Linked DNA regions of Macaca mulatta. The protein of the gene in region 1 interacts with the protein of each later gene in a pairwise test. Links are inferred from orthologs where the notes say so. Each region holds a gene or a part of one and is shown in the gene's direction. Other genes may lie near its edges.

Evidence for each region.
Region 2: the proteins of MAD1L1 (region 1) and LGALSL interact in binary tests that used the Homo sapiens proteins (3 or more experiments, as listed by UniProt). The two-hybrid records come from large-scale screens. The link is inferred for Macaca mulatta from reciprocal best matches to the Homo sapiens genes MAD1L1 and LGALSL.

The regions. Positions count from the first base shown.
Region 1 is NC_133408.1:36,186,883-36,192,590, reverse strand, and holds part of MAD1L1 (mitotic spindle assembly checkpoint protein MAD1), read left to right. Parts: intron 1-1,352; coding exon 1,353-1,532; intron 1,533-4,582; coding exon 4,583-4,707; intron 4,708-5,708. UniProt on the Homo sapiens protein: Component of the spindle-assembly checkpoint that prevents the onset of anaphase until all chromosomes are properly aligned at the metaphase plate.
Region 2 is NC_133418.1:60,272,664-60,278,942, reverse strand, and holds the start of LGALSL (galectin-related protein), read left to right. Parts: upstream 1-2,486; 5' UTR 2,487-2,511; coding exon 2,512-2,547; exon of another isoform or gene 2,548-2,856; intron 2,857-3,310; coding exon 3,311-3,382; intron 3,383-3,562; coding exon 3,563-3,651; intron 3,652-4,302; coding exon 4,303-4,480; intron 4,481-6,279. UniProt on the Homo sapiens protein: Does not bind lactose, and may not bind carbohydrates.

The DNA.
Region 1 (5,708 bases):
TGTGGCGCAGCTTATGGCATTTTATGGGTACTCACAAATGTTGTATTGAGGGAGGAGTCATTGTAGGGTCTCCGGGGGCCCTTTCTTGGGGAAATCCAAGAATGCAGGTGAGTGAGCTTACACTTGGGGCTCCTTGCTGAGCTCCAGCCACCTTCTAGCAGGACTTTCCTTCCTTGCCCACAGACACAGCTGCACAGGATCCCAGGAACAGTTGGAACCAGTAGTCTTCCAATTGTTCCTTGGAGTTCCACCTGGAAATACCTATTAGGGGTTGAGACCTAAGTGTCTGAAGTCCGGCGACCTGCTGGCTGCCCTGTCTGCACTAGGACTGGCAGTCCCGGGCCTGGTGCCCCATCTGGCTGTGATGGTGCTGAGCGGAGCCCCATGCCAACCCCAGCTCCTGTTCTGCATCACAGAAGAGTCTCTTGGTTGTTGTGAGGCAGCCCTTGCAGCTCACAAGGGCTAGAGTCCCTCCGAGGTGCGGGTCAGCCTCTCTCAGAAGGCAGCCACCTCTGTAACACCTCTCCTGGGCTTTGGGCTGGAGTACCCCAGATGAGGACAGCACAAGCTCATACTCCTCCCTGGGCTCAGGGGGAGTGCTTGGAGCTTCCCGAGGAAGGCAGGGCGAGAGGGTCCCAGAGTGCTGGGCTCCATCAGGACTCACCGCCTTCACCTCCTGGGACTCTTGTACCTGGCAGTGAACTTGCAGGGCCTGCGGGTCATTAGAGTCAGGAGGTCTGAGCGTGCTTCTTGGTTATGTCCCATCCCAACCAGTGAGAGCCACGCAGCCTCCCCAAGGCCAGTCGGGGGGGTGGCTCTGGAGGTTTGTGTGAGATGGTGTGCATGTGTGGCAGATTTGAGCCCAGTGTAAACTGCTTCTGTCCGCAGCCTCCTGCTCACGCCACCTGTCTCTGCCCCATCGGCTGCTCGCTGGGGGAGTGCCAGCTCATTTCAGTGCCGGCCAGAGTGAAGTTAGACAGGATTTGCTGGTGCTGTGAAAGCTCAGCTTCTCCCCAAGGTCAATGCTGAATTGTAGATTTCCCGTGCTCCCTCTCCCTGCAGAGGCAACTGCTGAGCAGACGGTGTGATGAATGTGTGTGTGATCTGTGCCAAGTGCCCGTCCTGGGAGTCCTGACTTTGCACAGTGCTCACCGTCATGGCGCCTCAGCGGGGGCGCCGGCACTGGAGCTGGGTCCCAGGTTCCATCCTGGTTCTGCCGCTGACTTGGCTGATGCGTCCTGCTCACCTCTTTTTTGCGCCTCGGCCTGTTCTGAGAGAGGCGTGGGGGTGAGGGCTCCCCGCTGACCCTCCCGTGGGTGGCACATGGCATCTGACTCTTGCTCTCTTGACAGCGCGAGGTTGATCGCAACCAGGAGCTCCTGACGCGCATCCGGCAGCTTCAGGAGCGGGAGGCTGGGGCGGAGGAGAAGATGCAGGAGCAGCTGGAGCGCAACAGGCAGTGTCAGCAGAACCTGGACGCTGCCAGCAAGAGGCTTCGTGAGAAAGAGGACAGCCTGGCCCAGGCCGGCGAGGTGAGCGGGGCCTCCGCTCCGCGGGGACTGCCCTCCTGGCACTGTTTTCCTGAGGAGAGGGAATGCATGCTCTTGTTCACCACTGCAGCGCCGCGCCTGTGTTATTAATTGTGCTTCCCACACGGACAGCTGCGTTTTTTGCATAGTTGTAATCAGTAGAAGTATTAATTTTCCATTCTATAGTTCTCAATTAAAAAGTTGAGCACTTGGGCTGGGCGTGGTGGCTCATGTTTGTAATCCCAGCACTTGGGAGGCCAAGGTGGGTGGATCACCTGAGGTCGGGAGTTGGAGACCAGCCTGGCCAACATGGTGAAACTCCATCTCTACTAAAAATACAAAAATTAGCTGGGTGTGGTGGCGGGCGCCTGTAGTCCCAGCCACTCGGGAGGCTGAGGCAGGAGAATCGCTTGCACCGGGGAGGTGGAGGTTGCAGTGAGCTAAGGTCACGCCATTCCACTCCAGCCTGGGCAACACAGTGAGACTCTGTCTGAAAAAAAAAAAAAAAAAAAGTTAAGCAGTTTTTTTGCATTTGTAATTATGAATTTTGAAGGCTGATGAATCCGTTTTTTGTCATTTATGGACTTTTAGTGTGTTTGTGTTCACTTGTGTATCTATGCAGCCTTCGCTTCTGTTGACTTTGGACAGACCCCTAGGCCTGGGCTATAAGGTCCCCAGCGATGGCGGTCTCTGTAGCGGTTGTTCTCAGAGCCCCGGCTGAGGGCTCCAGTTTCCCTGCAGCCTTCCCTGTCGTGGATGGTGGTCTTTTCTGGAAATAGTTGTTCTTTCGTCAGGAGGCTTAAGTAGGCACGAATGGATTTGCATTTCTTTGACTATCCGCAAGGTCTACAGGCATCTGATGGTGTCGGGAGAATTGCCTCTGAACCGGAGCCTGTGTGAACCACAGTCCTGGTGAAGGTTGCTTGCATTTTAGAAACAGCCTGGATGTGGGCGCTGGTGGAAATTGGAATCTTCTGACCTCTCCTGTCCTTTTTCTGTGAAGATCAAGATTGCTGGTGCCAAGAGGAGACATGCAAATCTGCTGGCATAGGGGTGGGGGTGGGGTGGGCGTGCAGCAAGCGTCCTGGAGGGGTCCAGAAACTGGCCCTGCGTCCTTTCTGTGGGTGGTGCTGGGGAAGCGTGTTGAGGTTGTTCCCCCATCTGCTTCTGGAGGGCACGTTGGCAGGAAAGGAGGTGTGATTGGCCTCCGAGAAGCTGCTCTTGCCTTGCCCGTGCTCTGGGTTCCAGTTCCTGTGTGCTGGGCTGTGCTGGAGGTGGGTCAGACCCTGTCCCCGCTGCCTGTGGGCACCTGCGGTTCCATGGGGGAGGGTGAGTCGTGCCCAGCACTCCACGAGGGGCAGAGGAGTGGGAGACTGCAGGAGCCGCAGGGTGGTGCCCAGTGGGGTGGGGCTCCGTGAGGGGAAATCGCGCTGCTGCAGGCGCTGCTGCTTTGGCCTGTCACGTCTAAGCTAGGGTGGCAGCTCCTCAGGGCAAACCCTCCTGCTCACTAGGCCTTGGCTGCCTTCTCCTGTCACAGGGCCCTGATTGTCAACCTCCTTACTCTGGAATTGTCTTATGTGCCTCTTCCTTGCCAACTGTCCGGCGTCCCCTACAACACAGGTGCCCCTGCGGGCAGGTGGGCTCGGCCCTGCATCCAGCCTGGTCCCGGCATCCGGTGTGTATTAGTTGAGTTCAGAAGACCTCTGGGAGGATGTGTTTATTGTTAGTATGTTTTTAATACCTTCTTTTTTGACTCCCAGGTTAATGCTTCACCATTGGGTGAAGTAAACTGTACCCGTTGTGGGCATTCTGGGAGCACACCGCCCCCATGCGCGCCTTCCCAGAGCGTCGTGGGGTGGACGGCAGTGATAGGGTTCAGCGGGCTGAGCTGGCCACGGGTTCTCAGGAACAGGGAAATGAGTGCTGTGGCCTCCTTGTTTGCGGAGGGTGCCACCCAGCCAGGCCCACCCAGGTTGTTTGCTGTGTGAGTTTGCCATTGTCCTGCCCTGGGGGCATGGTCCCCAGAGCTGACATCACGCCCATGTATTTCCCTGTGTTAACTTACAGTGATGCTTCTCAGGGTCTGTCCGGCTTCTCACATTGGCTCGACCCACGTGCTCTTTCTCTGAGGACACCTAGGGTTTTCTGAGCTTTTCCAGAGGGTTAGGGTCCTCAGAAGGTTGCCTGGTGAGGGTGGTCAGGATGAAGCGTGGCGGTTCTGTCACGCGCGGGTTCCGTGCTGTCAGGCAGACCTGGTGTCCTGGAGGCTGCCAGAGAGGCTGTTGGCTTTGCCTCCCCAGGGGTGCTCCTGCCTGTGCTATGCGCTCCCCTTCCAAGCGCATGGCCTCCCCAACAGCTACCGCCTAGCCCCCTGCACAGCCTCCGTCTTTGTCCTGTTGGTTGGCCAGTGCCTTGCTGTTGTTCGAGGGCGATGTCATTAGCAAACAGCCGGCATAGTAGCATTGGGGTGGCTGGGGAGGGACGACAGGAGCCACTATTGGAGGGAAGACCAAAATGATGGTGTGGTGGGTATGTGGATGCCTGGTGGGACTTTGGGAGCATGCAGCACTGGCACAGAGACTGCCAGGTGCCAGGCCTGAGAGTCCAGGCCCATCTTGGCTGGTGAGGACTTTTGCTTCTGAAGCCGCCTTACCAAGCCTCCTTTCCAGGGGCCCTGGCTGGGGCCTGGGTCTCCTCAGTCAGCTCCTGCATGGCTCGTTGCAGGCTCTGGGCTGTGCTGCTCTGGAGCGCCAGGAGGAGGGTGGGCCTTGCGTGTGAGTGCCTGCCTGGACCCGCATCCTCCAGAAGGAGGTGACTCTGCCCCCTGGCCCTCTGCTCCTCTGCTCCCCTTGTCCCCCTCGCCCGCTTGCCGTCTGTCCCCCTACCCTCTGTCCCTCTGCCTGATGCCCCTCTGCCCCCTATTCCTCTGCCCCTCTGCCTCCTGCTTGGTTGTAGCATGTGGGTGGTGCCTGTCCGCTCTTCTCACCTCCATGTGCTCCTTCCATGCATGGGCTCTACTCACTGAGTGGCTCTCTGGCCCCCTCTGCTTTTAGACCATCAGCGCACTCAAGGGGAGGATCTCGGAACTGCAGTGGAGCGTGATGGACCAGGAGATGCGGGTGAAGCGCCTGGAGTCGGAGAAGCAGGAGCTGCAGGAGCAGCTGGACTTGCAGCACAAGTGGGCGGGGCCAGGGTGTGGGGTCGGGGGTCGGGCCACGTGTGGGGGCGTGCACGCCACCTCTCTCTTGGTGGCTGGGTGGGTTGTGGATGCACTCCCGGGTGCTGTCCTAATTCACAGACAGTCAAGAGGGGCAGACGCTGAGGCCTCTGGAGCCAGGACCATGAGCCCAGAAAGTGTCCTGATGTTCCTGGAGCAAAATGGGGGCAGCAACTTCCTCCTCCTCCTTCTTAGAGAGGGCTCCTGCAGAGCTAGATTTTACTTTATTTTTTGTGACAAGGTCTCACTCTGTCGTCCAGCCTGGAGTGCAGTGGCACCCAGAGTAACTGGGACTGCAGGCATGTGCAGTACACCTGGCTGATTTTTTTTTTTTGAGATTGAGTCTCGCTCTGTCACCCACGCTGGAGTACAATGGCACCATCTTGGCTCACTGCAGCCTCCGCCTCCTGGGTTCAGTGATTCTCCTGCCTCAGCCACCGAGTAGCTGGGATTAATTTTGCACCTGGCTAATTTTAAAAAACGTTTTGTAGAGATGGCCATCTCGCTTTGTCACCCAGACTGGTCTTGATCTCCTGGCCTCAAATGATCCTCCTGCCTCAGCCTCCTGGAGTGCTGGGATCCCAGGCTAAGCCACCGTGCCCTGCTGAGGGCTAGGTTCAGAGGGCAGCGCCATGTGCCTTGGCGGTAGAGGGGGCGCTGCTGGGAAGGGGTGTCCAGGCACAGGGCTGGGCTCAGCCGAGGTATAGACGGGAGAGCCTTGTCTGGAGGTGTGGTCAGAAGACTGGGCATCTCCTTTAGACTTGGAACCTTCCCTCAGCAAATGCTGTTTTAGTAGAGTTCTAGTTTCGTAGTGGAGAGGAGAGGTCATTCCTGGGTGGGGCCCTGCCGCAGCTGCACCAGGGCTGGGAGTTGCTGCAGGCAGGTGAGAGCTGGGGGTGCCACTGCTGGAGAGGACCTTGCAGGTGGCCTGGGCTCACTATGCACCCTTCCGAATGAGCAGC
Region 2 (6,279 bases), on another chromosome or scaffold:
TAAGTTATTTTTATTATTATTGAGACAGGTTCTCACTCTGTCACCCAGGCTGCAGTACAGTGGTGAAATCACGGCTCACTGAAGCCTTGACCTTCTGGCTTCAAGCGATCCTCCCACCTCAGCCTCCCAAGTAGTTGGGACTACAGGCGCACAACACCACACCCAGCTATTTTTTTTATTTTTGTAAAGACAGAGTCTCTCTGTGTTGCCCAGGCTGGTCTCAAACTCTTGGCCTCAAGTGATCCTCTTGCCTCAGCCTCCCATATTGCTGGGATTATAGGCATGAGCCACCACACCTCACCTTATTATTTTTTCCTAACGCTTTTATCACCCAACATATTTTGTTTACTGACTTCCTTTGCCCACTAGAATGTAAGCTCAGCAAAAAAAAGTCACCTGCCGGATCCCCAGTGCCTGGTATATGGCAAGCACTCGGTATTTTTGTATAATAAGTGCTCACTATGTGCCCAATACTGTTTTAAGGAAAGCATTTACTTAATCCTCCCAATAACCTGAGATAGGCATTATTATTATCATCATCATCATCTCTGAGTATTAACAGATGAAGAAACTAAGGCACAAAGAAGTTTAGTAATTTTTCCAAGATCACATAACTAGAGAATAGTAGAGCCAGAATTTGAACCCAGGACACCGACTCTTTAACTCCATCACATATTGTATCACCCTTATTGTGTCACTCAGTTAATGACAAAGAACTGCTGCACTTTAATGCTGCTTCTCTATACCAGACTCTCAGAAATTGATACATACTAAAGTGTGCTTTCAAATGTCAATAATTTCCTATAAGTGCCTAATATTTTAAAATATAATAAAGTGTGATTTTGAGCTAAGACTGGTAAACAAAGTGTGCTGCAGCCACAAGCGTGCTGCGCTTCAGCCTCTAGTTCGAGAACCACTTCCAGAGGATATGACTGAGGCTTACAGGCGTGTGTAGGTAATTCTCCCTGCTCAACTGAGATTACCATGATTAGCTCTGGTCCATAAAGGGAAAACTAAGACACAAAAGCCGCAGTGATGTTCTAGGCCACACAGCCAATTGCAGTGACTAGAAAGAAGCCCGGCGGCGAAGGTAAGCTGAGATGGCGAAGGTGAGCTGAGATCGCGCCACTGCACCCCAGCCTGGGCGACAGAGGGAGACTCCGTCTCAATTTAAAAAAAAAAGGAGCCTCTGAGGGGCCCTCTGGGACTGCAGTACACACATGCTCCCTGCTTATTAGTGTAGAACGCCCCGGTGATTCATGCAACGGAATGTTTCAGCCAAGGATGTCACCTAATAGAGGATATGTTGATACAGCTTTATCTGAGAAGTTACATAATCATCCTAGTGTGGAAATGCCATAAAGGAATTTCTGGCTTGAATAAAAGAGGTGTGTATCCCCTGGGAAGTACTCCATGAAGGGTATGAGGAGATTTTCAGTGAGAAGCTTACTACCCTAGACTGGGCAAGTGACTTGTTAAAAACAGGGCTCAATGGAGGCTCCCTGAGGACAGTGACTGTGCCCAGTTTGATTTGGTAAGGCTTAGACTCCTGTCCGAGAGAGTCCAGGGAACCCCAGACCTGCCTGTCCTTCCACAGGGAAGAGAGACCTTTCTGTTTCTAGCCTCCTGGGATAGAAAGGTCCCTACCTTGAGTCCTCTCTGCTTCGTTCTTTCAGGTCACACATTTATTTCTGCAAGCCTTCAGACCTTCCATTCTCTTTCTGCCCTAGAGAGCAGAATGAATCCTTCCCCCGATTTTGTTGGAATTCTCTGAAAGAAATCCTGCCGAGTCTCCCACTCTGGAATACCACCCCCAGCACCCAGTCTTCCCTCGACCTCGCCTCCCACCGCCCCACCAGCCCCCAGGACGTGGCAGGAGGAGGAAGGAGGCTGGAGGGAGTGGCGCCGCCGGTGGCACGAGCACCTGTCACCTGACCTGCTCGGGCCCTTACTTCTCCAGCCCCGGCCCTGCCCACCCTCTGGCCGGTGTGCGCCGACAGGGTCCCCGCCCTCCCGGACCGGGACAGGCCCGTCCCTCCCGCGACGGCCTCCGCCACCGTCCAATGGCCGAGGGGCAGGGCCCGCTGAGCAAGCCGCGGCAGCCCCGCCGGGTCCCCGCCCTGTTCCCGGTTCCCAAGCCGGGCCCCGGAGGCCTTTAAATGCTGCCCAGGGCCGACGCGGCACGGCCCTTGCCACCTTTCTTGGTCGGGCAGCGGCAGCGGCAGCGGCAGCGGCAGCAAGCAGCAGCGTCGGTCCAGGTCCGGGGCCGTTCCGGGCCGCGGCGAGCACCTTGGCCCTCGCGGCCCGCGCTGCCTCCCTCCCCTCCCCTCCTCCCAGCCCCTGCCTGCCAGGTCGGCGCCGGGCCCCGGGCGTGCGCGCGCGCGCCCCCTCGTGTGTGCGCGCGCCCGCGCCAGCTCGGACCCGCGCCCCCGCCCCCGCCCCGCGCAGGACAGCCCCGGGATCCCCGCCCGCGCGCTGCGTCCCACGTACCCCGCCGCGCCGGGCAAGAAGATGGCGGGATCGGTGGCCGACAGCGATGCCGTGGTGGTGAGTGTGGCAGGGCGCGCGCGAGGCGCCCCTCCCCGCCGCCCCGCACTCCGCTGCCGCCTGCTCCAGCAGTGCTGGGGTGCTGAGAAGCCGCAGGCCTGGCCGGCGCCCCCCGCGTGGGAAGGCGCCGGGTACCTGTTAGCAGCCGCCGGCTGCGCGCGGCCGGTGTTGGGGGCTGGAGAGGCTCCCGGGCTGCGGGGCTCTGGGCTGGGGAGGGAGTTTGGGGAGGATGGCGGGGTGGGGGCGCCCGACAGCCCGATCTGTGCCGTGCAACCGCCAGCCAGGTGTGCGCGTGGGTGAGTGTGTCCGGGGCGCGCGCCCCACCACCGCCCCCGACGTCCCGGGGATTCCCCCTTGGAAATGGGTCGGCGCCCGGGGCTCCCGAGAGAAGTTGAGCACGGCCGCTCCACTTCAGCCACGTCCCGGAGGACAGGCCTGGCCCACCGCGCTTCCAGAAGCGTTTGCGGTTGAAGAGGGGCCTCCCCTCCTCCGGCGTGGGGCTCTGGCTCCTCGGTGGACCTCGACCTTGATTTTGATCTGGATCTGAAGGGTCTGCGGATCTTCAGAAGCTTAACCACCGGGTGGAAAGGATGGGTTTTTTTCGGGGGTTATGAGATTATCTAAGAAACAGTGAAGAGGCATCATCGGCAGACACTGTGTGCGTGTGGAAGACTGCTGGATTCCACCACATCTGTGTGGGTTCTTCCTCCAGCCCCCCAAAAAAGAGCCCATGGAAAGCCAATCTGTGTGCTTCTATTTTTAGAAACTAGATGATGGCCATTTAAACAACTCTTTGGGCTCTCCAGTTCAAGCGGACGTGTACTTCCCACGACTGGTAAATGGCTTTGCTCTGTGTTCTGTGTCTCTGCCTGTACCCTCCTCCTTTCTCGTTGCTTTTTAAAATTTTATTCGTTTGTTTATTGCATTTTCCAATGGGTCAGGCCTTCAGGATCTGAGGTCTTGGCTCTTCCCTAACAGGCTGTGAAACTCATTTTTCTTCTCCCACCCTTTGCAGATAGTTCCATTTTGTGGGCACATTAAAGGTGGCATGAGACCAGGCAAGAAGGTGTTAGTGATGGGCATCGTAGACCTCAACCCAGAGAGGTAAGGCAGAGTCTTTACAGAACTATCAGGCTGTGGCTGAGCCCTGCCCACTCCTGTTGTGGTTTAGCACTCCTCCTCTTCCTCTCCTTGTGCACAATGTTGCTAGTTGCCAGTGCCAAGAAAGTACCATGTTCCCATGAAAAGAATGTGTATGAATCCCAGCCATCATTTCTCCAGACAGCTATTTATATCAGAGATTATAAATATAGGCCTACATTTTCTCTTTGACCCTTAGGGAGGCCAAAGGATTTTTTTTTTTTTTTTTTTTTTATGGTTTTGAAACATGGTGCCAGAAGCAAGAACTATCAAGATGAATAAGAACCCAACTTAACATTATTTCCCGTGGTCAATTTCTGTGGCTGTTTTTGAGAATTCCGAAGTGGATTAAGACATAGATGTGTGGTCGCTTTGGGGTATTTGAAATCGCTAATTTTAGTCATTTTCAGCTCCACCAAAGTTTTCACCAGAGCTTGCTTTAGGTAACAAAATAAACTGGTTTGACTTACTTCTCCATAATCTAACCTCTCTTGAAGAGTAGTGGCCTCTTAAAAACGGGCAAACCCAGAGGAGGAACAGGAAATATAAGCACCTGGGTCATTTTGAAATGTTTTTATATCCAACCCTGAATCAATGAGATGATTTTCTTTTCAGCTTTGCAATCAGCTTGACCTGTGGGGACTCTGAAGACCCTCCTGCCGATGTGGCAATTGAACTCAAAGCTGTGTTCACAGATCGGCAGCTACTCAGAAATTCTTGTATATCTGGGGAGAGGGGTGAAGAACAGTCAGCAATCCCTTACTTCCCATTCATTCCAGACCAGCCATTCAGGGTGAGTACCTCGAGTGCCTCGGCTCCAGCCACTGGCAGGGTGATAATGTTCGACTTACCTAGTGTGTGCCAAGAACACTTGAAGCGGCCAGAATTTTTGCATGTCCAGGAAATTTGTCACCCAATGGTGAAAAAAAGATCAAAAGAGCTCTGTTTGCTGATGTAAATTAACACTTGCCATAGTAACTGTTAGTTCTATTCAGCTCACACATTTAAATAGACCCATATTTACGTGACCAAATTGTTAAGAATAAGTAACTTTTCTATGTAGTACCCAACATATAGTAGATACCTACCCCCAAATATCTGATTGATTAATCAATACTAATAAGTACCCACTTATTAAATATTAATAAATATTAATAAGGTTGAGAGCTACTTATTAGCTCTCAGCCTTATTTGTATGACATTTTAAAGAATATGATGATGATCATTTCATTTTCTCTTGTTCCCTTTGCTAATGAGGCCATGTTTGTGTCCTTGTTTCCCGCTCTGGATTAATTAACCGCAGTCTATTTCACGGTTACAGACTGGCTGACAAATTCCTTCCCTTGGGACTGGATGAATAAAGATTTGCTCCCCACTATCTTTTGGGCAGGAAGCACAATCCAAACTTTTCATTCAGTCAAGCAGCATTAGCAGCACCTTCCTCTATGAAAGGCAATGCCAAATAAGAGATGCAAGTAGTGGCACATTGGCTTGTGCCTGTAATCCCACCACTTTGGGAGGCTGAGGCAAGAGGATTGCTTGAGCAAAGGAGTTCAAAACCAGCCTAGGAAACATAGCAAAAACCCTGCCTCTTTAAAAAAAAAAAAAAAAGATTAGCCTGGCGTAGTGTCACACACCTGTAGTCCTAGCTATTTGGGAGGCTGAGACGGGAGGATCGCTTGAGCCCAGACATTCAAGGCTACAGTGAGCTGTGGTTGCATCACTGCACTCCAACCTGGGTGACAGAGCAAGGTTCTGTCAAAAAAAAAAAAAAAAAGGAAATGCAAGTAGTAATGGTGTTGAAAAGGGGTCAGACCTAGTGATGAATTGTCATTACACTTTCACATTACATCACAATAATGACAACTCAGTTAAAAGCTCCATGTTACATATGAGCCCAATAAAACAGAACTACACTTAACTGGTTACCCTTCATCTAGAAATTTTCAAGTGCCTCATGAAGAAGTAATTATTTCACTTCCCTTCTTACATTCTGAGGGGAAAATAAGAATCCATGATTTTTGCATCAGTGGTAGCATTGAGATAGTTGCCCTTCTAGTTATAGTCTCTGGAAAGCACCCTTGACCCATTCTCTCTCCTCACCCCCTTCTCTAGAATGGTGATGTCCCCTTGGGCTCCTCTTGGTGAGGATAGTTTCTCAGTGATGAACCTTAATGCATAGCTCATGAATGTGAATAACCACAGCTTCTGACTGCCAGGAGGAATATAATGCTCCCAACAACAAAACTGAAGTGAAATAGGCCTTTCTTGGTGATAAAATTTTAGTAATATGAATTAAATGTGACTAATAGCACATATGGAGCCTCCTTACATGGTGAACGCCAATGCTTTTAATAAACCCATCATAGCACACTACCAGTAATTAAACTTTATGGTAAATTACTTGAGGAAAAAGCTTTTACCTTATGGAACCGGTATTTCTGTTTGACTCAACAAAACCTTGTTAATTACATGTTCTTTGTCCAGTGGTAATTACTATGTGTAACCTTCTCTCTGCCTTAGTGCTTAGCATATTTTGAGTGTCCAGACTATTATGGTCTGCTACTAATGGATGCCAGTTCTGCCTTGTGA